2 linked regions of the Canis lupus familiaris genome follow. The protein of the gene in region 1 interacts with the protein of each later gene in a pairwise test. Links are inferred from orthologs where the notes say so. Each region holds a gene or a part of one and is shown on either strand. Other genes may lie near its edges.

The links.
Region 2: the proteins of pre-mRNA-processing factor 40 homolog A (region 1) and CCNL1 interact in binary tests that used the Homo sapiens proteins (3 or more experiments, as listed by UniProt). The link is inferred for Canis lupus familiaris from reciprocal best matches to the Homo sapiens genes PRPF40A and CCNL1.

What each region holds. Positions count from the first base shown.
Region 1 is NC_049240.1:55,464,302-55,480,142, reverse strand, and holds the start of pre-mRNA-processing factor 40 homolog A, read left to right. Parts: upstream 1-7,178; 5' UTR 7,179-7,286; coding exon 7,287-7,562; intron 7,563-8,194; exon of another isoform or gene 8,195-8,432; intron 8,433-8,610; coding exon 8,611-8,742; intron 8,743-10,143; exon of another isoform or gene 10,144-10,175; coding exon of another isoform or gene 10,176-10,223; intron 10,224-15,841. Other genes in the region: ADP-ribosylation factor-like protein 6-interacting protein 6, read right to left, coding at 4,936-4,989, 6,004-6,400.
Region 2 is NC_049244.1:51,186,342-51,201,494, reverse strand, and holds the end of CCNL1 (cyclin-L1), read left to right. Parts: intron 1-1,428; coding exon 1,429-1,549; intron 1,550-2,649; coding exon 2,650-2,714; intron 2,715-4,525; coding exon 4,526-4,625; intron 4,626-4,731; coding exon 4,732-4,836; intron 4,837-4,916; coding exon 4,917-5,058; intron 5,059-5,505; coding exon 5,506-5,617; intron 5,618-5,773; coding exon 5,774-5,872; intron 5,873-6,414; coding exon 6,415-6,763; 3' UTR 6,764-7,327; downstream 7,328-15,153. UniProt on the Homo sapiens protein: Involved in pre-mRNA splicing. Functions in association with cyclin-dependent kinases (CDKs). Inhibited by the CDK-specific inhibitor CDKN1A/p21. May play a role in the regulation of RNA polymerase II (pol II).

The sequences.
Region 1 (15,841 bases):
TAGGTGAAACAAAAAAACCAAAGTTTTGGCGTACTGTTAAGTTTCAATAGTATATTAATGGCTGAATGTATTACTTCTATTTTTCTAAACTTAAATTCAGAAATTTAAAGTTTTTCTTATTGAGAGTTACATTCATTATAGAAAAGAGATTAAAATAAATAGAATCTAAAACCCAGATAAATTATCTAAAATTTTAGTTTTATTCTTCCAGTCCTGTTGGGCTTTTATTTTTCTCTTCTTTTTTCCCCTTAGTCATCATTCTTTAACTAATATGAATAAGCAATACACACAATTTACAAACACCACCACAGAATACAATAATGTATTTGTGAATTTTTCCATGAAATAATTGAGTTACCCACCCAGCTGCAAATCGCACTGTATCATACCCTTAATACATAGTGGCCTGAAATTACAAGGTTCATATATTCGCTGGAAAAAGTTTAAGTTCACAGTCTCAGTCATTTTTCACTGTAAGGAAGAAACTGAGTGGACTGTTTTCAATTTTTACCTAAGAGAATGGGTCACTTCCCAACACACCCATTCTCTCAGAAATTTTTACCATGTTTCTAGTGTTCTGTATCATGAACTTATGATGGTAGAGTCTCACTTATCTTTCTGCAGAATAAATAACTGATAAACTCTTCAAATGATTGGCTTCATCTCTGATTGGACTGTGTATATGTCACTCATCTTTGTAAATATTTAGAAGCCTGAAAACATCTTAATCATAAAGCAGAACTAAATGGGCAGCTAAAAACAAGAATAGCCCTTGACACTGCAAAATGCTAGAAATCTGGTCTTAGCCACAAGAGGGACTTATAGTTACCTATTAACTAAGAAATATCAAAGAGTGACAAGTACCAAGAATCAAAAGCTTTCTAGACTGAAGGAACTCCACAAAGGCAATTACGATTCCTGTATGGCATACTTACAGCATGCATACTCAAAGCACTAGTCCCATGTTTACTTTGATGACAACAGTCTCAAAACATTTTCTGGTACAGGCAAACCTTTTATTTTTCTTATACACTTACTTCAGATTTGGCTGAAATAAAAGGTCATTTTATCATACCCTGTAATAAGACTATGAAAAAAAAAGGCAAAAATTGGAAAATAGAACTAAGTGTGTGAAAAGTGATAAAACTTGGATAATGTGACAGATACAAAAGCCAATATGCAAAAATTAAACAACTCATTATGTTGTATATTGGTGCAATCAATTTGGCCTGAGAATAACCTTTAGGGAGAAGGAGTAAAATGTGATTTTTAACTAAGTAAACTTAAGTTTTATTAACCTCCCTGAAAAAAAAGGCTTACATTACGAGATGGTTTATAGGACAATTATTAAAGGAAAGCCTTTCCAATGTCACTGAGGGAAGATTAGGGGAGATGAGTACCAAAACTGGGTGACAGCATCTCTCATACCTCCTTGGCTGGTCTACCTCACCAGTGAAGATGAACACTGATAGCCTAATCCTATTAGCCAGTAAGACCATATGACTCCTCAAATGTACTGATACCATGTTCATCACGAACCTTTTTTTGTTTAAGGTATACACAGTTTCCCATAAAGACTTCTTTCAGGCAAAGATAACAAGAGAATGGAATGGCAGTGTCTCAGGTCCTTTCAAAGTTATGTTTCCTAAGGGGCATTTGTTTGCACTTATACATTGTACCTTATTAGCCTGTCACCAGTCAACTCCCAAGGACTTGAACTGCTCTTAAACACATTTTTTAGGGGCGCCTCGCTGGTTCAGTCAGTAGAGCATGAGACTCTTAATCTTGTGGCAGTGTAACTATCAACTAGTAGATGTCAAAAAATGACAAGTACCAAAAATCAAAACCTCATGAAATTGAGCCCCAGGTTGGGTATTAAGATTACCTAAAAATAAAATCTTCAAAAACAAAACAAAACAAACCACACCTGTAAAGAGATTCTTACCCTATAAAAGTATTTCTCAAACTGAGAGGCATCAACATTACCTATAAAAAATGAAGATTTTTGGCTTCTACCCTGAGCTAAAACAAAAGCTAGAGGTACTTCTTATTTTTCACCTATTTATTTGTTAAAGATTTTATTTGAGAGAGAAAGAGAAAGAGAGAAAGAGAGAAAAAGAGAGAGAGAGAGAGAGAAAGAGAACTAGCAGGGGGAGTGGCAGAGGGAGAGAAAAAGAAGCAGGCTCCCACTGAGTGAGAAGCCCAACATGGGGCTCTATCCCAGGGTCCTGGGATCATGACCTGAGCCAAAGGCAGGTGTCTGACTGACTCAGCCACCCAGATGCCCCACAGAGGTACTGTTTTAAAGAAAGTACAGGTGATTCTTATGCATACTAAAATGAGAGCTGCTGCTAAAATCTGCTCTTACTAAACTATGCCAATCTTGGACTAGGCTTAAATTGCAATAAAAAAATCCGCAGTGTGCAGAAGTTTTATTAACCTGTCTAGAAAGAGAGTTCTTTCATAGGAAAGCAGTTACTATACTTAGATTATTTGATTCTAAAAACCAGTTCGTTTTCAAAGAATTAAGGCAATTTGCAATAAAATTTAAATAGGAATCATCGAAATAGGAAGGTAACAAGTATGGACACTAATAATACAGCAAAAAAAGGTTAATACACAAAACAATCAAACATTACAACAAACAAATATTACATTTACCTTTGAAGGTACCTAGCAAACAAGGCAAAATAAATGCAATGAAATACAACAAAATAAGATTTAAAAAGGCTGCATTCCACTTTTCCTGTAAATAGTGGACAAATTAAACAGTTTTTATTAAAGATCGTTTCTTCATGTGAAAACTTTTATACCATTTGTAAACGGGTAAGAATATAATTCCACAGGCAGTCCTTCACAGATACTCTGATGCAGCAATCCTTTATATTTGTTCACTCAAAGCTGATTTGAATCCATGTAAAATTTGAAAAAAACAAAAAAACAAATAGCCTATTTTCAACTATGAGCTCTCAATTGGACTTTTAACAGAGGCCAGTAGTCAACTCAAAACATTCTTCTGTAAAGAGGTTATATTGTTTTCTTCTTCCAACAGGAGAGAATTCCAGTTCAGAACAATGCAAGGGTAAGTGCTATCTTAGTAACCACAACTTTATAGAAGCTTAATCATGTTGGCACTGTTTCTCTGAGGTAGGTTAAGAATTCTATTCTCTTGGTAGAAAAGAGCATTTTCTATTGCAGGTTAGAATGAATATTTGTTTTAAAGATAATTACAGGCAGCCGGGTGGCTCAGCGGTTTAGCGCCACCTTCAGCCCAGGGTGTGATCCTGGAGACCCGGGATGGAGTCTCACATCCAGCTCCCTGCAGGGAGCCTGCTTTTCCCTCTGCCTGTGTCTGTGTCTCTGCCTCTCTCTGTGTCTCTCATGAATAAATAAATACAATCTTAAAAAAAAATAAAGATAATCATGCCTACTTTAAGGAAATTGACTGAATTAGTCCACTAGATGTTGAGTATATTCTCCATCTGACCACTGTAGCATTGCTTCAACATAAGGATTTTTGTTTTGGCACTACTGTTGTTTAGTGCTTTTTTTTTGTTTGTTTTTGTTTCTGGTGGTTTTGTTTTTTTGTTTTTTTGTTTTGTTTTGTTTTTTGCTGTAAAGATACAACAGTTTCTCTTCACTCCTGATATTGTTCCTGAATCCTGAAAGTTAATTCATGCCACCAGCACAGACTTAATGATCTTCCTATTTGCTGTCACAGCATTAGATATCTATCAGGTACATCTAAAAGTATTACCAAACTAGAAGAGGGAAAAGAAGCAGGGCAATGACAAAGCCTTACTATATTCCTTTTGATACTAAACAAGCTGTTCCTTCAGAAGAAAAGTGCCACCTATACTTTTCATAAATGTGAATGAAATTTGCTAAGTTTTAAACAGCAACATGGAATTTTTCCCTAGTTCTTAAGATTGTTCTATTCTTGTTGCATCAAGTTGACAGTTTAATAACTGCTATGAAATGCCTCATAATCTTGGCTGTTTTTAGAGACAAAATATACAACATACATTGATAGAATGAGCAACTGTAAAGTACATTTTCTCATGCAAGAAGTCGAGACTATAGAAATGTTTTCATGGGACATCTAACAAACCATAATTTGTTTCAATAATTTGAAGATAAAGGTTTTACCCCTTCTGCAAAATCAGTCAGACTATACTTTGTATCATTGTAAGGCCAATAGCCTTGAAGAGACAAATAGTTTAGCTAAAATTGAGATGGGGGGTGACATGCAGGATAGGATCTCAGCCTTTTTTTTTTCCCCCCCCGATTCAGAGTGATCAACCAAATAAATTACAGCAAAAAGTAGTAAAATATCCCAAACAGGTCAGGTTCTGAACACTTCAAAGTTATTTTGGCAAAAAGTAATAAATACAAGATAAATAATCCTTCAATTTTTCACTAGTCGTCTGTACAGCATTCTACATTCTATAGAAACTTGAGGCTGACTTCATCATTAACTTAAGCAAGTATGTCTAATACTTTTTACATTTTAAAAAAAAGGAAGTTGCTTATAAGGAGATAATGAACTTAAATTTCTCCTGAGGTCTGCTTAAGATGTCATCTTTGCTAAGTTTGTGAGGAGATTTTTTTGTTTTTAATTCCTGGGGAAAGGTATAGGAAAACTTTTTGAGGAACTAAGTAGAAAATGTTAGTCTCTGGGTCTTTGTCACACACACAGCGGTGTTCAAATTGCATTCCTACTGTGTGTGGTGTATACACAAACACACCAAATACACAAATTAAAAAAATCCAATAAAATTTACCACACACAAATGCAATTAAAAAATTTAAGACTGCATGAATTGCACAAGGGAATATTAATTTTTTTATCCAAAAATTTGTATAGTTTAAGTTTATGACTTGGAAAAATAAAAATGAACTCCAAAGCAAATCAAATGAGAGTTAAGTTTATACCTAGTAGCCCGGTGTCTGTGTCGTCTTCAGTCTTTAAATTCTCAGCATGTAACTCTGTAAATACAAAAAAAAGGGGGCTTGAGTATAAACGATTTTACAATTTAAATAGAAGCTCAAAACCTGGAAAAATATTGTGGAGCTGTGGAAAGTGCTCTGAAGTCGGAAACAAAAGGGTCCACGCGCGAATCCACTACTAGGTGTGCGGCCTTCCGAGGGAAATCCAGTCCGTCGGGGCGCATCGCCCAGTAAGCGGGCTTCTTGGAGTCGCTGTGAAAATACCCGGAGGCTGTGGGTCTCCTCTCGGCACCCGCCGCGGGGCTACTCAACCTCGAGGTGGCGGCGCTCCTGCGCGGCCAGGTGCCTGCGCGCGCCTTCTGCGATGCTGTCGCGCGGCCTACTAGGGCCCCTTCCTCCGTCCTCAAGGGACCCAAGCCCAGGTCGCAAGGGTCGTGACCCGAGGAAAAGGGGCCGCTCCGCGCTCAGGGACCACCTGCACCGGCAAGGAGCCCGGCGCCCACGTCTGCACCGCGGCTCGCGCCCCGCGTCCTCGCTCAGGGGTTCCCGGGAGCCGCCCGCCGGCCCGCGGGGGCCTGGGAGCGCGGGGCGGACACTGCGCGCGGATCTCCGACCGCCGCGGCCGAGCCTTCCCGCCGGATCGCACACCGCGCGCACGTCCTCTGTTCCACCCGGCGGCTGTCTAACCTCACTCGACGAAACACAACTAACGACCGGGGAGACCAGAGGGGTCTGACCCCGACACCAGCGCACGTCGGCCGAGAGCCACGGACTCCATCCGTAAGAGCAGAGCCCGGGGCTGTGGGGCGGCGGCCCGGCCGTCCGAGCGCGCGCGGCACCGGCGCCGCCCCACAGCCGCCGCCTCAGCGCCGCCGCCTCAGCACCATCGCCTCAGAGCCACCGCCTCCACGGCGCCGCCGGCCAGCCTGTCCCACCGCGGCGTCGGCCCACCTCGGGCCTCCCACCTCGGGCGCGGCCCTGCCCGTTCGGGAAACACACCGCAAGGGACGGGTGGGCGAGGCCGGGCGGGGGGCGGGGGGCGCGCGTCAGTACCTTTCACCACCAGGTAGGCGATGGCGAGGAGGAAGGCGACGAGGACCGCGAACAGCAGCGAGCACAGGATCGACAGCACCCGCACCGGCCGGCGCCGCGCCGCACCCTGGCCGCCCGCCGCCAACACGCCGTTGCGCTTCTCGGGCAGGACCGGCGAGCCGTCCCCGCCCCCGCCCCCGCGGAGCAGCGGGCGCTCCGCGGGCTCCGACGACGCCCCGGCCGAGAACTCCGCCCGCAGATCGCGGGCCACCGGGTCGCACCCGTCCTCCTCGTCCCCCTCCGCGTCCCCCCACCCGCCCCCCGCGGGGAAGGCGAAGGCCGGCCGGGCGGACGCGGCCGGGGTGCCGGGACGTCGGCGCAGCGCAGGCGGGCGCCTCCCGGTCTCCACGAACGACATGGCGGGAAAGGCCGCCGCGCCCGCGGAGGGCGAGACCCCCCCGGCCCCGCCCCCGGCCCCGCCCCGCGCCCGCAGCAGCCAATCAGCGGCCGGCCCCCGCCCCCGCGCCCACCACCGGCGAGGCGGCGCGGGGGTGCACCGGGGTGCGCGTCCGGGCGCGGAAGGCGCTGCGCGGCCTGAGGCGAGGCGGGGCGCCCGCGGGCCCGGGCGCGACCCCAGCTCGGGGGGCAGGACGGCAAGCGGACGAGCGCCCGGAGAGCGCCAAGCAGGGCCCGAAGGGAGCCAGGTCCCCGCCCCCCGCGGGGCGTCGTCCCGGCCGGAGACCCCCGCCCCCGCCGCGTCACCTCCAGGCGCGCGCGCCCCGCCGCCCCGAGGCCGCGTCCTGCCGCGCCCGGTCCTAGCGCCCGCCGGGCTACGGCCCCCTTCCTCCGCCGCACGCCCCGCGCCTCCCGGGCCCCCCTCCCTCCCGGCGGCTCGCCGCCCCTCGCTCCCCGCCCCCCGCTCTCCTTCTCATTGTTCTCCCCGCCCCTATCACAACTTGCCTCCCCGCCGTCCGACACGCCTCCGCCCCGCCCCCTCCGCCCCGGCGCGGGCTCTCCAGCTGGTGCGTACGGAGCTCGAACCCTCGCCTCCTCCCCGCCCCTCCTCCTCCGCGGGCAGCGCGCGCCCCGCCCCGGCCCCGCTACCGCTACGAGCCGGGTACCCCCCCTCCCGGGCAGCCTCAGGTTGGTAGGGCGTACGGAACTCGGGCGGAGGGGGTGAAGGTGGCAGGCGCACTGCCCCGCCCCCTGCGGGGTGAGGCGGTCTGAGCTCCCTCCCCCGGGGAAAGTTGGTGGAGTTTTCCCGGCGGAGGCGCAGAAACTTCCTCCGTCCCCCTCCCCCCTCCATGCAGGCGACGCCGAGCGAGGCTGAGGCTGGGGGCCAATCGCCGCAGAGCTGCGTGTCGGAGGCGCACTCTGATTGGACAGCGGGGAAGCCCGTCAGCCTGTTGGCCCCGCTGGTCCCGCCCCGCAGCGCAGGGCAGCCTTTAACCTTTGGCCCCGGCGGGCGCCAGCCACTCAGATCGCTGCTTGTTGGTATGTGCAGCGGCAGTGGCCGCCGGCGGAGCAGTCTGAGCCCGACGATGAGGCCGGGGACGGGAGCCGAGCGTGGAGGCCTCATGGTGAGTGAGGCGGCGAGCCGCCCTCCGGCGCGGGGTCCCGGGGACGGGGAGCGGGGGCTGTCGGGCCGCAGCGCCCGGGCCCCTCCCGGCGGCCCCCCGAGGAGACGGCCCGCGGCGAGGCGTCGGCGGAGCGGGGCGAAGCGGCACAATGAGACGCGGAGTCAGAGGCCGGCCGCCGGTCCCGAGGGGCAGAGGCCGGGAGCGCGCGGCGGCGCTCGGGGCGGCGGGCTCCGGGGCTGGGGCGGGGCGCGGCGCGGGGGCGCGGAGGCGAACCCGGACGTCCCCGCGGCTGGGCCTCGGCCTCGGCCTGGGCGGCGGCGGCGGCGGCGGCAGGCGGCTGGGCCTCGGGCCTCGGGCCTCGGGCGGGGGAGCCCCGGAGAGCCGGGCCGGCCCGCGCCCGCGCCCCGCCCCGCCCCCGCCCCCGCCCGCGGAGGGCTTCCTCAGGGGAGTGAGCGGCCTGCGCCGGGCTCCGGGCCGCCCCGGGGAGGGTCCTCCCTGAGCCGAGGAGCGTGCTCTGCGGTGCGGGTTCTGCGGGACGCACCCGCGCTCGGCGTCGGGCGTCCTTGGGGACCCTGGCCTCGCTCGCCTCTCCCGGAGGCCGCGCTCCTCACGGGGAAGTCGGCGAACCCTCGCGTCAAAGCGTGAAGTCAGCGTGGAGCCGGCCCGGGAACGGCCCCTGTTCGGGCGCTGGCTACCTCGTACCCGTGAGGAACAACAAAGTCGTGGCTCCCCGGACCTGCTCCTGCGCGGCGCCGGCTGTTAACGCGCTGCAGCGGCCTGCTGCGGAAATGAAATCTGTGTTCTCTTTGCCCAGTGATTATTTTAATTTTTTCTCCGATTACTTTGCGATTCGGCCGGTGGCGAGCCCGTGTAAGTTCCGGTGGGAGGTGCATTTTGTTTAAGAAAACAAAGTACGAGGCAACCCGGTGATGGGGTCCCAGTTGGCCTGACGCTGAGCCACTCTGTGCGCGTAGCCGGCTTGTGCGATCAGTTTTTTGAGAAGCGTTCATCGTCCCTTGCTCGCTCTCACGTGTCCCTTGTTTTCCAGATGGGCCACCCTGGCATGCATTATGCCCCGATGGGCATGCACCCCATGGGCCAGAGAGCCAACATGCCTCCTGTACCTCACGGAATGATGCCGCAAATGATGCCCCCTATGGGAGGGCCGCCAATGGGACAAGTAAGGATGCTCCTGTTTCGTTTTGTCTTCGGTTATCGTTGTGTCAAGATTTTCAAAACCTGGGTCAATACTTGCAGTTATTTAAGGATTAGTCTATGCCAAAATAATATTGTCGAATAAGTCAAATGCTAAGTCTAATCAAATTTTGAAAGTAAGGAAAAAGCCTTCTGTTTTAAAGATTTATTTTCTACCACAGCAGAACTAAGAGTTCTCTTTTTAAGTAGCTGTTTGTGTAGTCTTTTTAGCGTCATGACTTTATTTTTCCGAGTATGTCAATTGAAGTTAAATGTTTGAAGAGTGATTATTATTTTATAGGTCAACGTATTTTATGTCTATGGACCACGTAGATGCATAGAATCTAAAAATAGCAATTGCTTAGGCCTTTACCTTAGAGTAAAGTTTATTCCTGAAATAATTTCCTCGTGTGTGTGTGTGTGTGTGTGTGTGTGTGCGCGCGCGCGCGCGTGCGCGCGCACTCGGTGGGGGTAGAGCAGGGAGGTTCTACTCTGATTTGATTCTTCATAGGATAGTGCCATATAGGGGGTTCATTTTCCACTTACACTGTTTGGTTTTTGTTTTGTTTTAAATGCTCATTGCTTCTGCACTCCTGCTTTTGAGCTGTCCCTTTCATCTCCAGCATAAATGTAAATGGACATTTTGTGGGAGTGATTTGGAACAAAAGGTTTCAATGCTGACTCAGTGAATTCAGTAGAACTGAGTTCCTAGAGAAGCATCCAAGAAAGGTAACAGGTTCAGTTACCATGAATAATTTCATGCTCCCTGTCAGGTTCTGTAATACATAGACTCTTTCTTTGGTGGCTGAGTTCTTTCCATTTGAGTATCTCAATAAATCATCAAAAATTTAGGCTAGTAAAATATTTTGGAAAGCCAGTCAATTAGGTATGGTCTTTCTGCTAATTAATACTGTTTGTGTTGATAATCAGTTAAGCCTTGATATTTTAAGTTATTGGTGAAATTGTGGTGGAGAAAGGAGCTTACTTTGTGTCTTTTCTCTTTTAACCTTAGGAGTAGAAGGGCTTAATGTCAAGTGATTTTCTTCTTTTTAATTTGAAATATAGCCCTTAATTTTGATAAAAATCTATATTCAAAGACACCAGGCCCAAAAGATTCTGCCTGTAGGAGTTGAGTGTTTTTTTTTTTTTTTTTTTTTTAATAATAAAAGAACCATTTATTCTGTTGTTCTGGAATAACACAAGTTTTAAAACTCCCTTAGATGATGGAGAAACAACTCTGATTCCTCTTCTGTTTCTTTCCATCTCTAAGCAGCAAGGAGCTCTTCTGGTTTTCTTAGTAGAGCTGCTCTAACTAGATAATGAGCTTTAAAAAATATTTATTCTTTAAATGCTCTGGTTCTTATTTAAAATTAGTTTCTTTCCACAGAAAGATAAAATAAAACAATTTGCTACTGCCAGATGCTTCTCTCTTTTCTGGGGCCTTCTGTTTCCATTGGGCCAATCAAGGTAAGTTTTGCAAGGGATTGACCTGCTTACCCTTGCTGTAATGGTGCTATTGCACTACCAAACCAAGACACCAGCTAGTCATTTCTAGTACAATGCAGATTTTATTTATTTTTTTTAAGTACTTTTGTGTATTTCATTGGCATAAGCTGGTCACAGTTTGTTTTATGGCCCTTTCTCTTTAGCTGTATTAGTGATCATCTTCCTAGTAAGGTTACTTGATATTTGGTACACATCCATTCAAATACTCTTAATTTTACCTTGAGATTTTCTTCTTTTTTTTCTAGACCAGTGTATGCCATGTACCTTTAAGTATACCTATTTAGATGTTTAAAAGTCTCTCTCTCCCTGTCAGCTCCTGTTAGGAGAATGAATGAACGACTTAAGGGTCCAGCTCTTAGGGTCCCAAGAGAATCCCCACTGTTTTTCCTTAAAATTATATACTTCTTTTGTCTTCTTAATCTCTTAACTTAAATGGGGCCCAAATCTTGGTAAAAGTAATTCTTTATTTGAGCTTTCGTAACAGACTGGGAGGGCATGGATAATTTAAATACTCAAGTAATCTAGAATTCTAATTTAAAGCTCTGTAAATAACTACCTTAAAAATAAAAGTTGACAGCACAGTGGATCTTTTTCACGACTACTCACTCAGAGGTGTTAATGGTCAGAAGTTCATGAGAGACAGCAGGGTGCCTGTGAATGACACAGTTCAGTGCAGGGACACAAAGTTGGTAGGGTTCTGCTGTTCAATTTTAAAAAGTTAAAAAGTCAGTTTACAAATTTTTTAGAGTTTGGTCCTGAGGGTGATGGAACCTTCATGTATGTTGCCTACTTCACATTACTATCTCATTCTGGGACCAGCCGAAAATGAAAATTGGTGCTAGTCTTACTCGCTAAGTGCTTCTGGTGTTTGGAATGTTATATGGGCACAACAGGAAATTTTAAAACTTGTTTGTAAAATAATATGCAGACTGGACAGAAATAACAACCTTTAGGAGCCAGAAGTCATAATTTTTCAAATGAAAAAGTTATTTAGGTTAAAAGAGTACTAGGTTTTCTGAAGGTTTTTTTTTTTTTTGTACTTATTCAGGAGATTGACTACAGTGCCCTTTATAGAATTCAGGTTGAATCTGTTACTAAAAAAGAGATTTCATCTCAATTATCTATAACATAGGTTACATTTGCTTCTTACTGTACGTTAACTTCATATGGGAAAGTTGTCCTGGTTTTACAGGATTATACACTCTTATAGTTGGAAGGGACTGTGAAAGTTGCATGGACTTTAATATGGAAATTAAATAATGCTTTATCACTGGTTAAAAAAACCGTTAGTAATATTTTCCCTACTTGGTGGGAATACTCAAAAATTTGCAGTAGAGATTTGCCTTAAGATGTGATTGTATGTGAGGCCATTTTCCACTTATATGGTCAGTAATGTTTTTCTTTTAAAATGTTCTCACCTCTTACAAATTTTTGTTGTACTTTCTACACAAAGGACATGCAAGTCCTACCTTTATCACAGGTGATTTTGCCCTCACTAAAATCCTAAGAAAGTCCTCCTAGTTGGCTCTTTGTTTTTTTCATTTTTAATTTTTCTTTTAATGAGAAAAGTGGAGTAAAAGCCGTAAGGTCTCTTTCAGCTCTAACAACCTATGCTTCAATTCAGGTCATTTGATGAGAAGAGTAGGTGATATGTATGAGATTTTATGGGTTGATATGTACATAAAAACAAAATTCTTTAGTAATGCCTCCCTAATTCTAATTATTCAGTACTCTTTTTGCCTTTGTTCAGTAAGTTTGTAAATGAATGCTTTTCACAAATGAGTTTGATTTTCTTGTTCTTACATTGAGTAAGGCAGGCTTTAACAGATCTTGAGTCTATTCCTGCTGCCATCTGGACCCAAGTAGTATATACTGCCATGCCCAGGATACTCTTGACAAGTTTTGAGCTGGTTTTCTTGCTTCAGGCCTCCCCCCTCAGATTCTTTTAGAGTTCAGCATGTTGTCTCCTTGCCCAAGAGCCTCCAGTGCTTTTCTGTACCTATGGTCTAATGTCTAAATTCCACACTTTATAACTTTCAAGAATCTCCCAGGTCCAACTTAGTGCATGAGTCTGAGCTGCATGCCTTCTCGCTCCCTAATTTGAACCCAGGCTGTTTTCTCTATCTTGAGTGATTGTATCAGTTCATGACTGAACTCATGCTGTTCGTGTCCTCCTGTCCACAGCTCACTGCCACCATGAACTTTCCTTTACTTACCTAAGTTCTACCATTTCAAGTTTTGCCTTCCTCCGGAGATCCTCAGCAATAACTTTGCCCAACATACACTTTCCCTTCAAATTATTAAAATAAAATCCTATGTAATTTGCCTGTAACTCTGTTGCACTTATTTGGGATTTATTTTTGTTTTATGGTGTATTTGCTCTTTCCAGCATGTAATAGACTGTAAGCTCTTAGAGGGCAGGGCCTATGTTTTGTACTTTTTAAGAAGTCCACAGGTGCTGAGCACAGTTCTCAGCACAGCATGGATGCTCAGTAAAATACTTGTTGAATGAATGAAACAAAAACATATTCTTTCCCACATTATAGGCCATGAAGATAGATGTTACATGTGACTATTTTCAGTGGTTACTTGTGACTTTACACTGTTACAACTTAATTCTTATTTTTAGTGTTTGTCTCTCTAGTTTTTTCATTTGATAAAAATGGAAGATAAAATGTAATATTTTTTGGTGAATAAAGCAAAAGTACGTATTTCCATTTATTTTTAAATAATAGACAACTATGTTTCTATCTGTTTGATTTTAGTGATGGTCTTTTTTAAAGAAGTTTTACCACAAAGTTTTGCATACCCTCAGGGAAAATGATGATTTGGAATATAGGCCTTCCAGAGAAATCCAAAGTGTTGGTATCTTAGATTTATCTGACTGATTTTGACCAGTTAATTTGTTCCTGTTACTTTTAAGTGACCTTTATTTTGGGCATTTACAGAATCCATGCCATTGAATTGGGCATTAGTAAGTGACAAAAAGGCTTTTTTCCCATTAGGTTATTTGTTCATAATCTTGAATCTCAAAAAAAAAAAAAAAAAAAAAAGAAAAAAAAAATCTTGAATCTCAGTAACTTTCTGTGTGCATTTATGTTACCCAGGCAAGTATTTTTTAAAAAATAGATCGACCCAGACCTAGGTGCTTGTATAACTTCTCGGCTGTGTATATAGTTAGATGTTGATAGATTTACTAATGATACTATTTTTTTTTTTAGGTAGCATTTCAGTTACATATGAACTCATCTATTTAAAAACTTTAGCTAGAGTAATGTTTCTGAGTATGGAGAGTATTTGGAGAGATGTTAGAAGACAATGTAAGTGTGGAAGAATGGAGTGTACTCCTCTCCTTTGAGATTCACAGGACACAGTGTTTCCTAAAGCTGCTGGGAAGTCTTGCAGAAGCCTTTTAAAACTATTTTTCTCAGTGTTTCTTGATTGTGGGGCTTTTTTTAGCCATCTTCCCCTCCTCCACTTCCCCAGGCTCCCCTTCCCCCCCCCCCCCCCCCCCCCCGTTACATGTTTATTTTGCTTTGTCTAGCACATTGCATGGAATTAATGTCGCATGGAATTACCATTTTGTGAGAAATATTGTATTGAAGCTGTTTTTCAATTTAGTCTGGTCTTTAGGAGGAAGAGGCAACATCGAAATTAGTATTAACAGGTATGATGAAGCATTTAAAGAGTGCAGTGAATGTATTCATTAAGTAACAGGATTAAAAAGGAAAGAGAACAAATCTCAACAGCTTAACAGGTTGATTTTTAATTGGGTTTGTTAGAAATGTTGATGATGTGACTTAAAATCCTCATAAAACTGAATCAGTAGCTAGTAAAGGTACCTGAGTATATCCCATAGCTCTCTACTGGGGTATTTGTTTTTTAACTAGAGATGATAAGGCTAAGTTGCAATGATTTTTGGAGTGAGTAGATTACTGTCTTGTCTAGAAGTTGTTGGTCTTTCATTCTTACTTTTTCTATACCTTCATATTACTTTTAGTCGGTAGGCATTTAAGTCTCTTGGCTGTGGTGTTAAGATGAAAAACGGGGATCCCTGGGGTGGCTCAGCGGTTAAGCGCCTGCCTTCAGCCCAGGGCGTGATGCTGGAGTCCCTGGATCAAGTCCCACATCGGGCTCCCTGCAGGGAGCTGCTTTTCCCTTTGCCTGTGTCTCTGCCTCTCTCTCTGTCACTCATGAATAAATAAATAAAATCTTAAAAAAAAGAGAAAAATGTATATATCTTACACTGATACGTACCTTATTCCCTCCTATGCCTGGTATTCCCTCACGTGCCTGGCTGAACTTTACTTTTTTTTATCTTGTAACTGCTGTGATTTGGCTGTCATGATATTTGTAGACATTTGGAAGTTTTATGGAGATGAATCTTTTATATTTCTTTTCTTTCTCTAGAAGTAATTAGACATTCCTCTTATTAAAGAAAAGTTAATTGTAGTACTGGTAGTACTAAAGATAATGGTGTTTTGCATAATGGGCTTTAAGGAAAAACTGCTTCTAATTGCTTCTTTTTTACTTGATACCGTGTACTTAAAGTGGAAATCTGAGTCTTTTCCAGATCTGAGTGATGCTGGTAGCTATATGTTTTGAAGGACTAAACATGTCAGCAAGAGAGGACTGTTCTGAGTTGAAATATAGTTTGCTTTATCTACAGCTTTGATTTTTTTTTTTTCCCCCCTTAAAACTTGTTTATCTTAGACTTACAAAGTTCTCACTACAATACAAATATAATTTTACTCATTAGGACCTGATCTTCTGTTTGGGTTAAGACTTTATCTTTTGATTAATGAATGAGCATTAAGTTTCTGTCCAAAAACATGGGCTTTGGTATAGTTTCCTTGGCCATGTGCTACAAGACAATGGTTATTCCTCGGAAAGGTGATTTTTCAGTAATTTCAAGGTTATTACATATTTATTAGGATATATTAAATACAATAGAAAATTTTTTCGTCTATGTGGAAACAAGAACTGGTCATAAAATTGTCTCTTCGAAGCATTTGAGTTTCTGCTACGTCCATGTATCTGTCCTGTACCCTGGTAATATGTACATAAATGAGACATGCTCCTTGTTCTAAAGGTTCCTGATAGTGAGAAGAAACTAAAAAGCTGAGTTTCATATAAACAACATATAATGATTTAAATAGATCTAAAACTGAATCTAGCTTAAAGGACTCGGAGTAGGGGATATTGACAGTCTTATGTCCCTCCATACTTGTGTCCTAGAGGGCTTACATTCAAAAGAAGGCTTAGACGACTCTTTAGAGGAAGTTTTAAAGTCTAATTCTGTGTGACTTGAGACATCACTGTTTGTATATATATCCCTAATACGTTGAGTTTTTTCTTTTTTCTTTTTTTTAATTTATTTATGATAGTCACACACAGAGAGAGAGAGAGGCAGAGACACAGGCAGAGGGAGAAGCAGGCTCCATGCACCGGGAGCCCGATGTGGGATTCGATCCCGGGTCTCCAGGATCGCGCCCTGGGCCAAAGGCAGGCGCCAAACCGCTGTGCCACCCAGGGATCCCTACGTTGAGTTTTTTAAAAATTTAATTTATTAAAATGAT
Region 2 (15,153 bases), on another chromosome or scaffold:
ATTTAAGTAAGCTAGTTTCCATCTTGTCAAATTTGCCAACCTTTTTCTTGTTTTTGGTGTATTTTATAAAAATCGTAGTATGAAATAATTTGAAGTAGTCTTAACAAGCATTCCAGTTGCTGTGATTTAGAATGGGAGTAAGCAGGTTTTTAGAAAGCAGATTTTTTAGATGTATGTCACTAGTTTAACTGTAGCTCATTTCAGATTGTTGTCTAATATTCAAGTGAATGTATTTAAATATGAGCTTACGTTTTTCTGCATTTGGTATGTAAGGTAAAATGAGTTGTGAATTGGAGTAATGTTCAGAATGACTATCTTTTAAAAACAGGTGTTCTGCCCAGGGCAAAAACTTGAATATTTTGGCTGAAAATGAATTCAGTATGGGGAAAAATATTTACATGTTCTCCCCATATACATATTCTATAACCACGCCTTAATGAAAACGTACTTTCTTGGTAGTTGGATCTAATAATGTAGCAAATGAAGGACATTGGGAAAATGAAAATCCACTAGTCCTGACTAAAAACAAACTTCTCAGTAAGAAACCAATTTTCAGTTCAAGACTTAGTCTTTTAACTGAACATGCTATTTCCAAAGCACTTAACCATTGATAGCTTTCTGCGTTACAGCTTTTGGAGCTATCAGAATTTAGTCTGGCACAGAGAAGCTTGAGCATTCTTCTGGTTCCCTCATTACAGTCCCCAGTCTCTTCTTCATCACATTCTAAAGAAAGTTATTCTGCCTAATAACAACTCAGACCTAGTGTAAACTTACTTTTTATCAACTTTTGGGTTTGAATCTAATTTTCAACACATTTCTTTCTGTAATTGAGGTCAATCTTTAGTTATCAGATTTTCTTTGACAGTGGTGGATTCTTAGAACAATTTGTTTAAGCAAAGCACCCATTTAGGGAATCTGGATTAGCTAGCTGCCTACCATTTTTTTCCTCTCCAATTTTTACTTTGGTCCTAAACTAGCCAAGGGTTGATATTTTAGAAAAACAAGTAAAATCATTATAATCTATGAAGTCTTTATAGTAAGTATTTTCAAGAATCCATTAGCTTTGTCATTGTAAAGTCTAGACTGATGGGGTTTGTGATGATAAATCAGTAATCACTTAAGTTTATTTATATATAAATGCATACACACCTATAAGGGAATCCTATGAAAAAGATCAACAAAGGCTAGATAAAGCATAGAGTGAATTTTTCTCTACAGAATCGAGTTAGTTTCTATAGAAACTTAGTTAAGTATATGTTTAATTAGCATAACTTGGACAGCACAAGATTAATGCTTTAACTTGTTTGCAGGAGTTTAAAAAGCTGGTTTCTGTTGCCAATAGTTGGTTGGAAGGGAAAATGGAGATGCCACAAATAAAATTTTTTGGATGTGCAAAACAGTTTTGATTTTATTTCTTACAAACTATAGGACTCCAAGCCCCCTGATCCTTGATCAGAACTACATTAACACCAAAAATCAAGTTATCAAGGCAGAGAGGAGGGTGCTAAAGGAGTTGGGATTTTGTGTGCATGTCAAGCATCCCCATAAGGTGAGTTGTAGAGTGCAGAAATTAACGTTCGTAAGTATTAGGGTTTTTCTTAAAATTGTATCTTACGTGAATTTGTTACGGTTATTTTGAGAGTTGACCTTGGTTTTAAATAGCATCCTTTAGGATATTGAAATTTATCAGTAAAATAGGAGTCAAAAAGACCTGGGTTCAGACCTTCACACTTCATTATGTGGACACAGATAAGTTCTTTTTGCCTCTGTGGTTAACCCAGCTTCCCTACCTAGAAAACAGACTGTGTGTGAAGTACCTTATTCTAAGAGTAAATAATAATACACATCTGCAGAAGTACCTGGCATGCAACTGGTTGCTCAGTAAAATGTTCAAATCATGGTGGCTGCTCACTGTTCCTGTTCTTGTACGTTTATAGATTTCTCCAGTATCTCTTTGCTTACATATGATCACTGCAGTGGTTACCATGAGGGTGCTCTGGGGATAGGACTGTCTGTGATAGAAACTTGTCTCTGCCCTTAGCTGTGTGACTTGGGCAAACATATCTGTTCCTCAGGTTCCACATCTTTAAGATTGTAGAATGGGAATGATTGATTCTACAGGTCCAGAAAGCTCTGACCTGAACTCTCGTGGAGCTATTTATATTGTAGTATTTATCATGCTTAAGTGAGATAAGCTTCACTGCAGAAAGAGTAGTGTTTATTTACTATATAATACCCACTGTGTGTATTAAATAATGTGGTCATAGGTCATACTCATTGTATAACTTTAAAAACATAGTCTAGGGTTTTTGGACATGAAGAATTGTATCTTGGGAAATTAAGTGACATTTCTTACCACAGCATCTGTCACATAGTAATGTGTTCATGAGATACTAGGTATTGTTTTTAATTGACTTAACTCATTTTTTTTTCCTGTGAATTTTGGATCATATTTTAAATTTTTATATGGACTGTAGTAGCATAATAACCCACGTTGCCTATAATGTGCATTTTAGGTTGGTCTGTATTATCTATGCAGTTTGTAGAAGCGTTAAAACTTGTACCTAACATTTCAGTTACTTATATATTCATTGAACTCTGAAAGACCCACCGATATGCTAAATTGAGTTTTTTTCCCTTGTCCTTCAGATCATTGTTATGTATTTACAAGTCTTAGAATGTGAACGTAATCAAACCCTGGTTCAAACTGCCTGGTAAGTTGCTTTTTTACATTTCTTTCCTAGCCAGGAAAACAGAAGCAGAAATAAAGTAAGTTTCGTTTTCCCTTTCCAAAATAATGAGAGGAGTTTGTTTTGGTGCTTTTTGTTTTTTTTGTTTTTTAACCAAAAGGTAAATAATGCTTATTTCTGCTTCCTGTTTTCTTGGCTTGACTAATTGCTTTCAATGGAGAACTCAATTTAACTTTGTTCTTTTTTCTACTCTTTAATTAAAGGGTAGTCCATGATGGTAAGTCATAGAACTCTGCCCTCTGCACTTCAGCCCATGACCTCAGGATGGCCTGATTGGCTGCCCTGCTCTCCAGCCAATCCAGTGCAAGCTCTCATCCGAGATTCACTGAAGTGGTCCATATCCATCTGGCAGCATCTTCTAGTTCTGTCGGGGTGTCAAAAGGATTTGTATATTTGCTTCTAGAAGTAACTATTCAACATGCCTGTGTATATAATGTATACCTGTAACTATCAAAATGAGTAGTTCATTTTTGATAGATTTGTTGTCCAGCCAGTATGAATAAAATGATTTTTTTTTTTTTTTTTTTTTTTTTTTTGGTTAGGAGTTTGACTTAGATTTCTAATTTTAGTATGTATAGCATGGATTCTGTCAAAGGAGACTACAGCTTGCAGCTTAAAATGGGTGCCATTCCCATACTGGATGCATTGCAGCTGCTGGACTACTGAGGCAATAATAATAGTACATTTTTAAGAGAGATGTTAATATTAACATAAGCACTTTAGAACTTGGACTTTTGACATGAAGATGTTTGATTTAGAGGGCTAGCTTATTTTAAGGTAAAACAATTTGGTCCAGCTACAATTACTTTTTTAAGACTCTTTGATATGCAGGACTTAAGTAAATTTTGTGTTCTGGACTTAATGACTACCATGCTTCTTTAGGAATAAGTATATACTAGTGGTATTAGAAAAGTCTAATTGCTTTTATAAAATGCATGACATTTTTATATATGCTCTATAAAACATTTAAGCAGTTTTCGTGGGTAAGGATTTTTAAGAAATAGTCTTCTTAGTTTAACCTTTTAAACAATTTGTGAAGTTTCTTTAATACTTTAGGGATATTGCGGGGAGGGTTCACTAATAAAAAAGTCCAGCATTTTATTAACTGAAGTAGTTTATTGCTTTTGTTTATACTCAGTCACAAAAAAGGTATGTAAACAAGGCTGTTTTGTATATTTACTGCTCTTCCCTATCTAAATTTTCTGAAGTAGCTTACTTAGTTGTCTTAATATAACTTGGTGAGTGCTTACTGAAAATGCCTTTTTACCCCTGTCACAATATTTTGAGATTTTGAAAGAACTTGGTTGACACTGCTTTTTATTGTGGATAAAGGAGAGATGGTCAATGATTAATGGCTTGAAGTATTGTTGGAGTGGTTTATCATTTCTGAAACTTAGTTATGTCAAAATTGACTTTCAAAGTATTGCCTTTTATAGAAATATATAAAAATAAGTTTTATTTGGAATAATATGGGATTATTTTATTTTTTTTTTTTTTTTTTTTTTTTTTTTTTTTTTTTTTTTTTTTTTTTTTTTTTATGGGATTATTTTAAAGGACTTTGGTCATTTATAGGAAAACTGGAGAATGGTTCTAGTGTTAAATTCTTACCTCTTACTGATTTTTGAGTTTAAGAATTGTTATATGCTAGAATATGAGGATATGAATATAAATATGAGAAGAAAAAAGAATAAAGTAGATTGAGTCTCCAATTTTATGTAAGCTTCAGACTGGCTGTTTTGTTTATGTACAAAGCTTATGGTTGAAATATTTTTCAGGAATTATATGAATGACAGTCTTCGAACCAATGTATTTGTTCGATTTCAACCAGAGACTATAGCATGTGCTTGTATCTACCTTGCAGCTAGAGCTCTTCAGGTAGGTATATATAGCCTGTTTTTTCTATAGGATAAAACACAAGACTTAGCAGTCCTCCTAATAAAAACTGAAATTTGATCTAAACCATTCTGTTTTTATGGTTTAGATTCCATTACCAACTCGTCCCCACTGGTTTCTTCTTTTTGGTACTACGGAAGAGGAGATCCAGGAAATCTGCATAGAAACACTTAGGCTTTATACCAGAAAAAAGGTAGTTGTTTACGCATGTTTAAGTGCTAAGAGTCTAAACTAGTATAAGGGGAAAATACTTACTTCATTTTCTTCCATTAGCCAAACTATGAATTGCTGGAAAAAGAAGTAGAGAAAAGAAAAGTAGCCTTACAAGAAGCCAAATTAAAAGCAAAGGGTTTGAATCCCGATGGAACTCCAGCCCTTTCAACCCTTGGTGGATTTTCTCCAGCCTCTAAACCATGTAAGATATATTCAGAATTGAAATGACTGGGCACTGAAGGTGTCTGGTTATTAGAAAGCTTTAGCATTTAGGGGCACCTGGGTGGTTCAGTCAGTTGAGCATCCGACTCTTGATTTTGGCTCAAGGCATGATCTCAGCCTGACAGGCTCTGTTCTTAGTGCTGAATCTGCTTGAGATTTTTTTCTCCACCGTCCCCTCTCTTCCTGCCCCCCCTCGGCCCTAAATAAAGAAGTAGATAAATCTTCTTAAAAAGAAAGCTTTAGCAGTGGCATAGAAACAATGCTAGAAGAATCTGTTACTGTTTTTTCTCATGTTAGTCAACTCAAGATCATACTTGAAAGCAGGGTACTTGAGTTATATTTAGAAACAACTTTTTGGCCCTCTGTTAAATCCAATAGGTAACATGACTTTGTGTTATTGGGTTGTTTTTGTTTTTTTTTTTTTAAGCATCACCAAGAGAAGTGAAAGCTGAAGAGAAGTCACCAGTGTCTGTCAATGTGAAGACAGTCAAGAAAGAACCTGAAGACAGACAACAGGCTTCCAAAAGCCCTTATAATGGGTGAGTGTCCTTGAGTTAGAAAACTGGTCTAAGGAATCTTTTATGTTTTTAATTTCTAACACACTAAACATGTACCTAAAATAATGGGTTTGTGTGTGTGTGTGTGTGTGTTTTGTTTTTGTGTTTTTTTTTTTTTTTTTTTTTTTTTTTTTGAAGAGTAAGAAAAGACAGCAAAAGAAGTAGAAATAGCAGAAGTGCTAGTCGGTCAAGATCAAGAACGCGATCACGTTCTAGATCACATACTCCAAGAAGACAGTAAGTAAATATTCTCCTAGAGAAAGGAGTCTTATTTGGAGTTAGGTTCCTACTTTTTAAAAAATTTAATGTAGATGTCGCAGTTGGGCTACATTTAATATTTTAACATGAGGTAAATTACGAGAAAGGAGTTTGGAAGTATGTCCTGCCTATACATGGCTTTTCTGTTTTGGGGTGGTGTAGCTTATGAGCTATTCTGTTTTTGCCCATATTTTGGAGAGGTGTAGGGGCTGACCACAAAGTGCTATGGAAAGCTGTAATACCTTGTTTATAATGTGAAAAGAGTTTTGTTCAATTTCAGTTAGAAAATATTAATATTTTATTAACTGTTAATAACCAATACTCAAGTTGGCCAAAGAGTCTTCCCAAGTTAGCTTTGTAATTAGTTTGCTAGCTGCTTATGTCTGTTCAGTGGCTCTTTTGAGCATGTGTGAGATATTCAACAAAAAGCATAGTTTTGTTTTGAAGCTATTATAAGCACCACCAAAATAATTTGGTCCCAGTAGAGACTGAATCTAAACCTCAAATTTTTATTATCTAAGTTATAATAATAGGCGGAGCCGGTCTGGAACATACAGCTCAAGATCAAGAAGCAGGTCCCGCAGTCACAGTGAAAGCCCAAGAAGACATCATAATCATGGTTCTCCTCACCTTAAGGCCAAGCACACCAGAGATGATTTAAAAAGTTCAAATAGACATGGTCATAAAAGGAAAAAATCTCGTTCTCGATCTCAGAGCAAGTCTCGGGATCACTCAGATGCTGCCAAGAAACACAGGCATGAAAGGGGACATCATAGGGACAGGCGTGAAAGATCTCGCTCCTTTGAGAGGTCCCATAAAGGCAAGCACCATGGTGGCAGCCGCTCAGGACATGGCAGGCACAGGCGCTGACTTTCTTCTTTGAGCCTGCATCAGTTCCTGGCTTTGCCTATCTATGGTGTGATGTATGGACTCATAATCAAAAACATTAAAACAAACTGATTAGGATATGATTTCTTAAAACCCTCTAGGTCTCTAGAAACACTGAAGACATTTTGTTTTGGAAAAACTATGTGTTTTTTTTTTTTTGTTTTGCTTTTTGGGGGTTTTTTGTTTTCTTGGCTTTTTTTTTTTTTTTTTCTTTCCCCTTTTTGGTTTTTGTTTTGGTTTTTGTTTTGTTGTTTTTTTTTTGTTTTTGTTTTTTTTTTGCACATTAAAATGCCCTAGCAGTATCTAATTGAAAACCATGGTCAGGTTCAATTGTACTTATTATAGTTGTGTATTGTTTATTGCTATAAGAACTGGAGCGTGAATTCTGTAAAAATGTATCTTATTTTTATACAGATAAAATTGCAGACACTGTTCTATTTAAGTGGTTATTTGTTTAAATGATGGTGAATACTTTCTTAACACTGGTTTGTCTGCATGTGTAAAGATTTTTACAAGGAAATAAAATACAAATCTTGTTTTTCTAAACTGCTTCAAATATCTTATTTAAATAAATTATTAAAAAAAGTAAAATTTTAATAGTAAAGTGCTTGTACTGATTTTCTGACAAATTTGCTCTTTTCCTCCATTAGCTATGGTTTGAGATTATTAAATACAGTTTTTACCTGCAGTGGGAGCTATTGTAAAAGTCTTAGCCTTATATATGGAAAAAAAAAAGGGTTGTGTGCAGCAATGTAATATTAAATGTTACATTGTAGCACTAAGCCAGTCTTATAATGAAATCTATTTGCACATAAATAGTATTTATGGTACCATTTCTTAAATGAGCTGCCCTCTTGAACAAATGAAAACGTAACATGACAAATCAGATCCAATTGTTGACTTTTAAGGTTTTTCTTTAAATTAAATTAGATATTTAATGAGGATTTTTATCTAAGCTAGGAAGATTCAGTAATAAAAGCTCTCCCCATCCCCCCACTTGGCTGGGGCTGATAAAGTCTGACCACTGAAGTTTTGTTGTAAAAGCCAGAAGTCCTATATCCAAATGAATACTTTGTAAGTTATTCATGTTGAGAGTTATTTTCCCAATAATTTGGAAGTGAATTTAGAAATCTTTTTTAAAGATTTTATTTAGCAGGGTACAGGGCGGGTGGTGACAAAGACAGGACACACACACAAAGGGAGAGAGAACCTCAAACGGATTCCACATGGAGCCAAAAGCTGGGCAGACCCACAACCTGTAGATCCTGACCTGAGCCAAAATCAAGAGTAGATAGATGTTCAACTGACTGAGCCACTCAGGAGCCCCTGAATTTAGAAATCTTAAAGGACATATTTTATAGTTAAAATAAGTTTTCCATTAATTTTTTAATACAGCTTGATACTTTATTTGTCCACTGGACTTGGCTCCAAATGATTTGCTGTTTCAAAAGATGAAATACACGCAGAAAGATACAAAGATTCACTGCCACTTAAGAGTTTAAAAGAAAAAAACTGAAGATAATTTCAAAAACCTATAAAGCATGGTCACCAGTGGTGGGCACCAGGGCTGGAAAAAGAAAGCCAACTAAGGCAACTACATTGAAGGAGACAAGACTCCCTTGGATTTTAAAATGTTGGGTGTGCCACTTTATTATTATTATTTTTTTAAGATTTTATCTATTCCTGAGAGAGGCAGAGACAGGGAGAAGCAGGCTCTACGGAGGGGAGTCCGACGTGTGGGGACCTGTGGGACTCGGGTCTCCAGGATCGTGCCCTGGGCCAAAGGCGGCGCCAAACCGCTGAGCCCCCGGGCTGCCCTGGGTGGGCCCCTTTAATAAATCAGTTGTTGTAACTAGAAAACAAGCCCGACCTCAATAAAGAGCGACTTCTGAAGGGGTGAATAGCACGAAGAGCGTTCCTTCTGTATATGATGTCGCACATACTGCCCCGAACTGTAGCTGTTTAAGAGGCTAACCTATGTCTACGCAGGAAGCCAGTTATTTCCTTTACGAGATCAGCACTGAAGAAGGGCAGCGGCGGCCGTCCACCGAGGTCCTCCCTGTCTGACCAATTAATCCTGAATTCTTGATCGTGCTTAATTCTGTACCTACTTTCCCCTGGTTGGAGAGAGCACCGTGGCTGAGCTTTGAAGACCAGATGCAGGAACTCGCCTGCATGCGGGATGGGATCTGTAGTGTGTCAGGTGGCTTCGCAAGGATGTCTCCATGTATCCTAATTTTTGCCTTGTGAGACCGGTGATGAAAATAAAGTTTTGTAGGTTTTTGTCAAGAAGTTGACAGTCTCATGCTGCTCTCTTTTTAAATATGTATCAATTTTTCAACTTCTGTTAAAGGAGATTTCTAACAGAAGTAGTACAATACCCATGTCTCTGCTCCAAAAATGATCGATTCCTGGTCAGCCTGCTTGTTCGTACCTACCAATTCACCATTCTACTTCCCACTCATTTGGAAGAAAATCCCAGACAACTGATTTCATCCCCAACTATTTCGGTCTGAAAGATCAGGATTTAAACTACCACAGTACTTTTTATTAAAAAAAATTAACTGTAATGCCTTACTGCCCAGTCAATACCCAGATTTTCCTATCTAATTTGTTTTTATAATTAGTATGTTTAAGCAAATTCATATTGTTACATTGCTTTTATTTTTTTATTTTTTTTTAAGATTTTATTTATTTTTTTATTTATTCATGAGAGACAGCGAGAGAGAAGGGCAGAGACACAGGCAGAGGGAGAAGCAGGCCCCATGCAGGGAGCCCGATGTGGGACTCCATCCCGGGTCTCTGGGATCACACCCTGGGCTGCAGGCGGCGCTAAACCGCTGCGCCACCAGGGCTTCCCGTTGCTTTTAATCACAGATTCTCCCATCCTTTTTCCCCTTACAATTTTAAAAAATTGGGTCATTTGTTTTGAGGACATTTCCACATTCTGGGTTTGCTCATTGTAACCCAGTGGCATCACCAGACATACTTTCCTATCTCCCGTATTATAAAGTTCACAGTTCTTAAGACTTGATCAGATTCAGATTTGAGGACTTTTTTTTTTTTTTTTTTTTTACTCTGAAACTTAAAAGTCTGGGGATTGAGGCTGTGTGTTATTCTAGAACTGTTAGTAGACTGTGCCTCATTCACTAGCTATTTCATGGAGTTCCCAATTTTTTTTTTTTTTTAAGATTTTATTTATCTATGAGAGAGGCAGAGACACAGGCAGAGGGAGAAGCAGGCTCCCTGCGGGAGCCCGATGTGGGACTCTGATCCCAGGACCGGGACCGGAGGCAGACGCTAGACCGCGGAGCCCCCCAAGGGGCCCCTGAGTTCCTGATTCTTAATCCACTAGTGCCTGCCCCTGACAGCTTTGTGTGCGAATCTCCCCATTGCGCATATGTTCTCTCATCTTGTGTTTCCCCGCTACAGCCATGAGTCCTAACGCATGCGAGTTGTTTAGTATTTGTTCTGATGATCCTGATTCTTAAAACTGCAGTCCTTTCATGTTATGGAATGTTAACACCTGTCCTTTATTTTTGGTTTCTCAACCTAAAGGAAGACCAGTGACAAGCTAAATCCCCTCTCCGTTTAAAAACCGCGATCGTCAAAGTGACTACCTTTTTACTGAGGTTCTAAGTTTTGTTTTCTAGCTTTAAATATTGTCACTGCTGCCATCAGTTTGTAACTGATCGTTGCCCTCAACCTGCGTCAAAAGCCACTTAAAGGTAGCTCTCATGAAAGTTTCCAAAAACAAGATAATTGCATGATGGTATTCATTGTCCTACGAGCCATTTTTTAACATAGGCTGTAATAGAGAACTGTAAATTTTTTTTTTAAAGACCAGATTTGTTTTCCCCAAAATCCATCTTATTATCATAGGGAGCTTAGTTTAGCTGGAGACAGAGAACGCTCACAGGGTTTGATAAGGAAAACCCATGATCCGCCCCCCCTCCCCACTGGGAGGATCGGGAGGGCAGCAGGATTCATGCTGTGGGCCTTGCTCCCCACGCATCCCCGGGTAGGGTATGTGTGTGGCTGCAACTCACAGCTTTGACTTCGTAACCATTTGAATTTTGTCTGTTTCTTGAATGAAAGGACCATGGCCTTCCCGGTCATCTCTGAATTGGAGCCACTCCTCCACTGAGGGGACTTGGCACGTTATCTAGCGTCTGGTCAGCCGCCGGCCCGGCCCGCAGCCAGGCAGGTAGAAGCGGGGCCTGCGTTTAGGTCTGCGGTTCCCGTAGTTCTTACTAGGACGCATCCCAACTATTGAGAAGCTTGACTTCTATGTTCCTTACGAACACGTAATTTCAGGATGCTGCTGCGCTGGACTTGGAGCTGATCCTGGACAAGGTTGTCACGGAAACCCGGGGCCCTTAGATCCCAGGTGTTCTCCTGACCCTTCTGTGTGTGCCGCGTCCGCTCAGCTCACTTGCAGCCCAGTTTCCAGTACAGAGGGAAGCCCCAGCCTGCCAGCGAGCGCGCCTCCCTCCCTCGCTCCCTCCCCTGCAGCAGCCATCGCCCCGCACCGGCACCCACCGAAGGTAGCAGCCTTTATGCCTTCGCCACAATCTTGCAAAGAGCAGCTAATGACCTACTTAAAGCGTTAATCCCACGTTCCTCTAATACGTTAAGCTTCCAGTGGTTTCCCACTCCACTTCAAATAAAATACAAGCCTTTGACTCTGGCTTGTACGTAACCCAGCCCTCGCCGGCCTCTTCCATCAACCAACCTCTCTTTCTCCTCCTCAGATGTGCACATCTACCCCCGAGCCTTTGCACTTGCCGCCTTTCCTACTTGGGAGGCTCTCCCGAAGCTTAATGTCAGAGGCTTCATCATTCGCGTGCCCTTCTCTTTACAGGGGGCTCCTTTCACACCCCATCTAAAATAAGCATGTCTGGGGATCCCCAGGTGGCCCAGCGGTTTAGCACCGCCTTCGGCCCAGGGCGTGACCCAGGATGGAGTCCTGCATCAGGCTCCCTGCATGGAGCCTGCTTCTCCCTCTGCCTGTGTCTCTGCCTCTCTCTCTCTCTCTCTCTCTCATGAATAAATAAAATATTTTTTAAAAAATTCCACCTTCTTAAAAACACACACACACACACACACACACATGAGATGTACAATCCCTGGTATCACGCACTGGCACCAAGCAGCCCTCTGGTTGGGACGTGCACACGCCCGTGCATTATCCCCCTTTCTACTCCCTCTTCATCACAACACTGAAGCCCCGTGTCAATTTGCATTTATCACCGACAGTGGGGTTTTTCTAGAATCCTGCTCTTTTGCTTGATACTACCTGCCTGGTCTTTTTGCAGTAGACCCCTGGCGTCACAGAGAAGAATCCAAGGCCTACATCTGTGAACGAGGCCTAGTGTGCATGGGATCTGGGTCAGATGAACGTCCCTGTCCACGGTGCCCAGCGTCTCTCGGCTGGCTCACCACTAACCTCACACTGGAATTTCCCCTTTGAGGAGCTTCCGCGTTGCTGGAGCACCTGTGGGAAACTTCCACAAATGGAGTCTTCCTGTTTTCATACAGAGCGTATGTATGACACAGCACATCTTTGTCCAGAGCACAAGGCGCTCAAGTCCAAGCCACCGTGACGTCCAACGCTCCAACCCCAGATCACAAAATTAATTTTCTGCTCAAAATGTGTTATTTTCTTGGTCCTTTTCAACCAAACCAACTTTTAGTCATTTAACTGTGCAGCGTGGATTAGCGGTGTACAATGAGGTCTTGTTGAAACTGGTAGGTCCCGGCAGACAGTGAGAAATTAGGAGTCTCGGCCAGTGAACTGTCGTACTTGAAAACAGTGGAGTTGCACCCGCCCGGCGTGTGCTCCCACCCCCCCACCCCCTGAGGAGGCTACGGTGGTAGGCCTCTACCTGGACACGAGGCCGGACAAGGCCCTTATGGCTAGAGCCAGGCCGGATACCTACACGTAATTAGTACCTGCTTGCAGGTAGTGGAGGCTGTTTTTTAAAAGCCAGGTAACACCTGAAGCAATCCAAGTAGCCCCCAAATAATCTGCAGGACGGTTTCCAGGGCCGAGCAAGCTGCACGGGGGCCGAGCTCATGGAAGGAAGGGGGACTGCGGTGGCCAGGGCACCACGGCTGGGACAGGCCAGGAAGGGGAGGCCAGGAGGGGAGGCCAGGCCTGTCGCAGGGCGAGGTGACGCCAGCTAAGAGAAGTGGGGTGCGTGTGGGAGCTGAGTGTGGGGTGACGCCAGCTTGCAGGGCCCTGGGACCGCTGTCCTGGGCTGCCCGTGATAAGCCACCGAGAGCTTGGGGCTTCAAGGAAGGAGATTCCTTCTCTCCGGGCCCTAGGAGGCAGGGAAGTCCAAGACCGGCATGTGCCGGGGCCCTAGAAGGTTCTGGGGGGAGAGGCTGCTCGAGTCTCCGCATTCTCCCCCTACCCCCCCCAGGCCTTCCCCCGCGTGTGTCCTCTCCTCCCCCTAGGACACCGGTCACCGGACTGGGCCGCAGCCGAACCCAGGAGGACCTCATCTAAACCACTGGCTTGCGCAAGGACACTATTTCCAAAGAAGGTCACATTCTAAGGTTCTGGATGGACACGAAATGGGGGGTGGGGGGCGCGGGGAGGACCACGTAACCCACTACAGCGACAGAAGGACGACGCGTTGAAAGAAACAGCAGTGAACATTGTTCTGAAACTTCGGTTCCGACATCATTTCAGACTCGTAACACACGCACCGCAAACGCAGTACAAAGAACGTCCGTCCCCCCCGCCCCCGGGTGCTAACACTTGACCTCCCCGTCTCTGCCGCTGGAGGCCCAGGTGCTGGATGTCCTGACAGGTCTGGGAGTCGGCCTGGGGGCCCGGACGCTCCGCAACGGCCTCCCCGGAATCAAGTTTGTTTTCCACTACAGTGGTTGGAAATGGTGACTTTTGTCTTTCTAGCCGCCCGGCCCTGTGTCGGTTGTCATTCCTCTACCAAGAGAGCTTTCCCTTCATCTCTTACTTGTTCCAGTATCTACAGACTCATAGATTTTTTTTTGAAAAAAAAAACTCCACGTGCTGCAATTCCTCCCTCTCATCATTCCTCGTGGTGCTGATACGGTCCCCGACTAGGCCAGCGGAACTCCAGGAGCTGGCTCCTTTGACCTTTCCATGTGTCCCCAGTCGTTTTGGGCGTTACGTCACCCTCTCGTACCACAGGATGACCCAGGCTCACCTTGTGCTTTCTCTGCTTCAACCCTGGGACAAGCCATTCCTCTGGAAGGCCCAGGTTCCTGTTAGCGACGGACCAAACCCTGGCGTCAGGTCTGCCCATTGCTGCTGGCGTCTCACTGTTTCTACCCCGTTGCCTACGAAACCTCCGACTCTACGCCATCACCGGGGGGTTCTTTGGCTCCTTAACTCCCAGTGTAAACCAGTGGATTGTGTACAATGTCCCTTACTTGAGGTTCGCCCGGTATTTCCTCAAGACTGGACTCAGCTTTTGTGGTTTGGGGAGGACAACACAAGCGCGTCTTTCCCAGTGCAGCAGATTAGGAGGCAGCGGGGGTTTGGCCCCAGTAATGATGGTCCTTGATCAAGGTGCTGGCGTGGGCCAGGGTGCTCTACTCGATGTCACTGGTTCCTCCTCTGTAATTAACAGTATCTTATGGAGGAGACGCTTCAAGATCACATAAATATGGTTTTTCATCATAATTCTGCCTACTAGTCCACTGATTTTGGCCTGAAACATTTATTGAATGTGATTTTTCTAATTCCAGCATTCCTTCGACATTTATTTATTTGGAACCCCCCCCCCCCCCCCAGTCAGGGGGAGCTTTCCGTTCATTTATTCATTTGTTTACAGGATATCAGGATATACTCATTTGGTGGGTCACAACCTATTGTCATCATTTATTTTGTTATAATTATCCCAGATGTGGCCATTAAGAATTGCTTAAAGAAAAAGAAAAAAAAAAAAAGAATCGCTTTAAGCTAGGTCCTGTGTTCTTTGAGATGACTTTTTTTTTCTTTTTTTTTTTTTTTAAGATTTTACTTATTTGAGAGATAGAGACAGAGAAAACAAGTGAGGGAGCACAAGCTGGGGGAGGGACAGAGGGAGAGAATCCCCAGCAGACTCCGTGCCGAGGCTGGAGCCCAACAAAGAGCTCAGTATCACAACCCTGAGGTCATGACTTGAGCCAAAATCAAGGGTCAGCCACTAGCCAACTGAGCCACCCAGGCACCCCCGAGATGAATATTTTTAAGACTTTTCCTCACATGTGTGACTTTCCAAAGATTCACAACAGTGGTCCATTCTCCAGGGTGTGTAAGGAGAAGCCCTTGGGCTTTCTTATCAGCACCGGCTTTAGAGGAGATAAGACGACTTTTAAAGGTCAAGGTCAGGGCA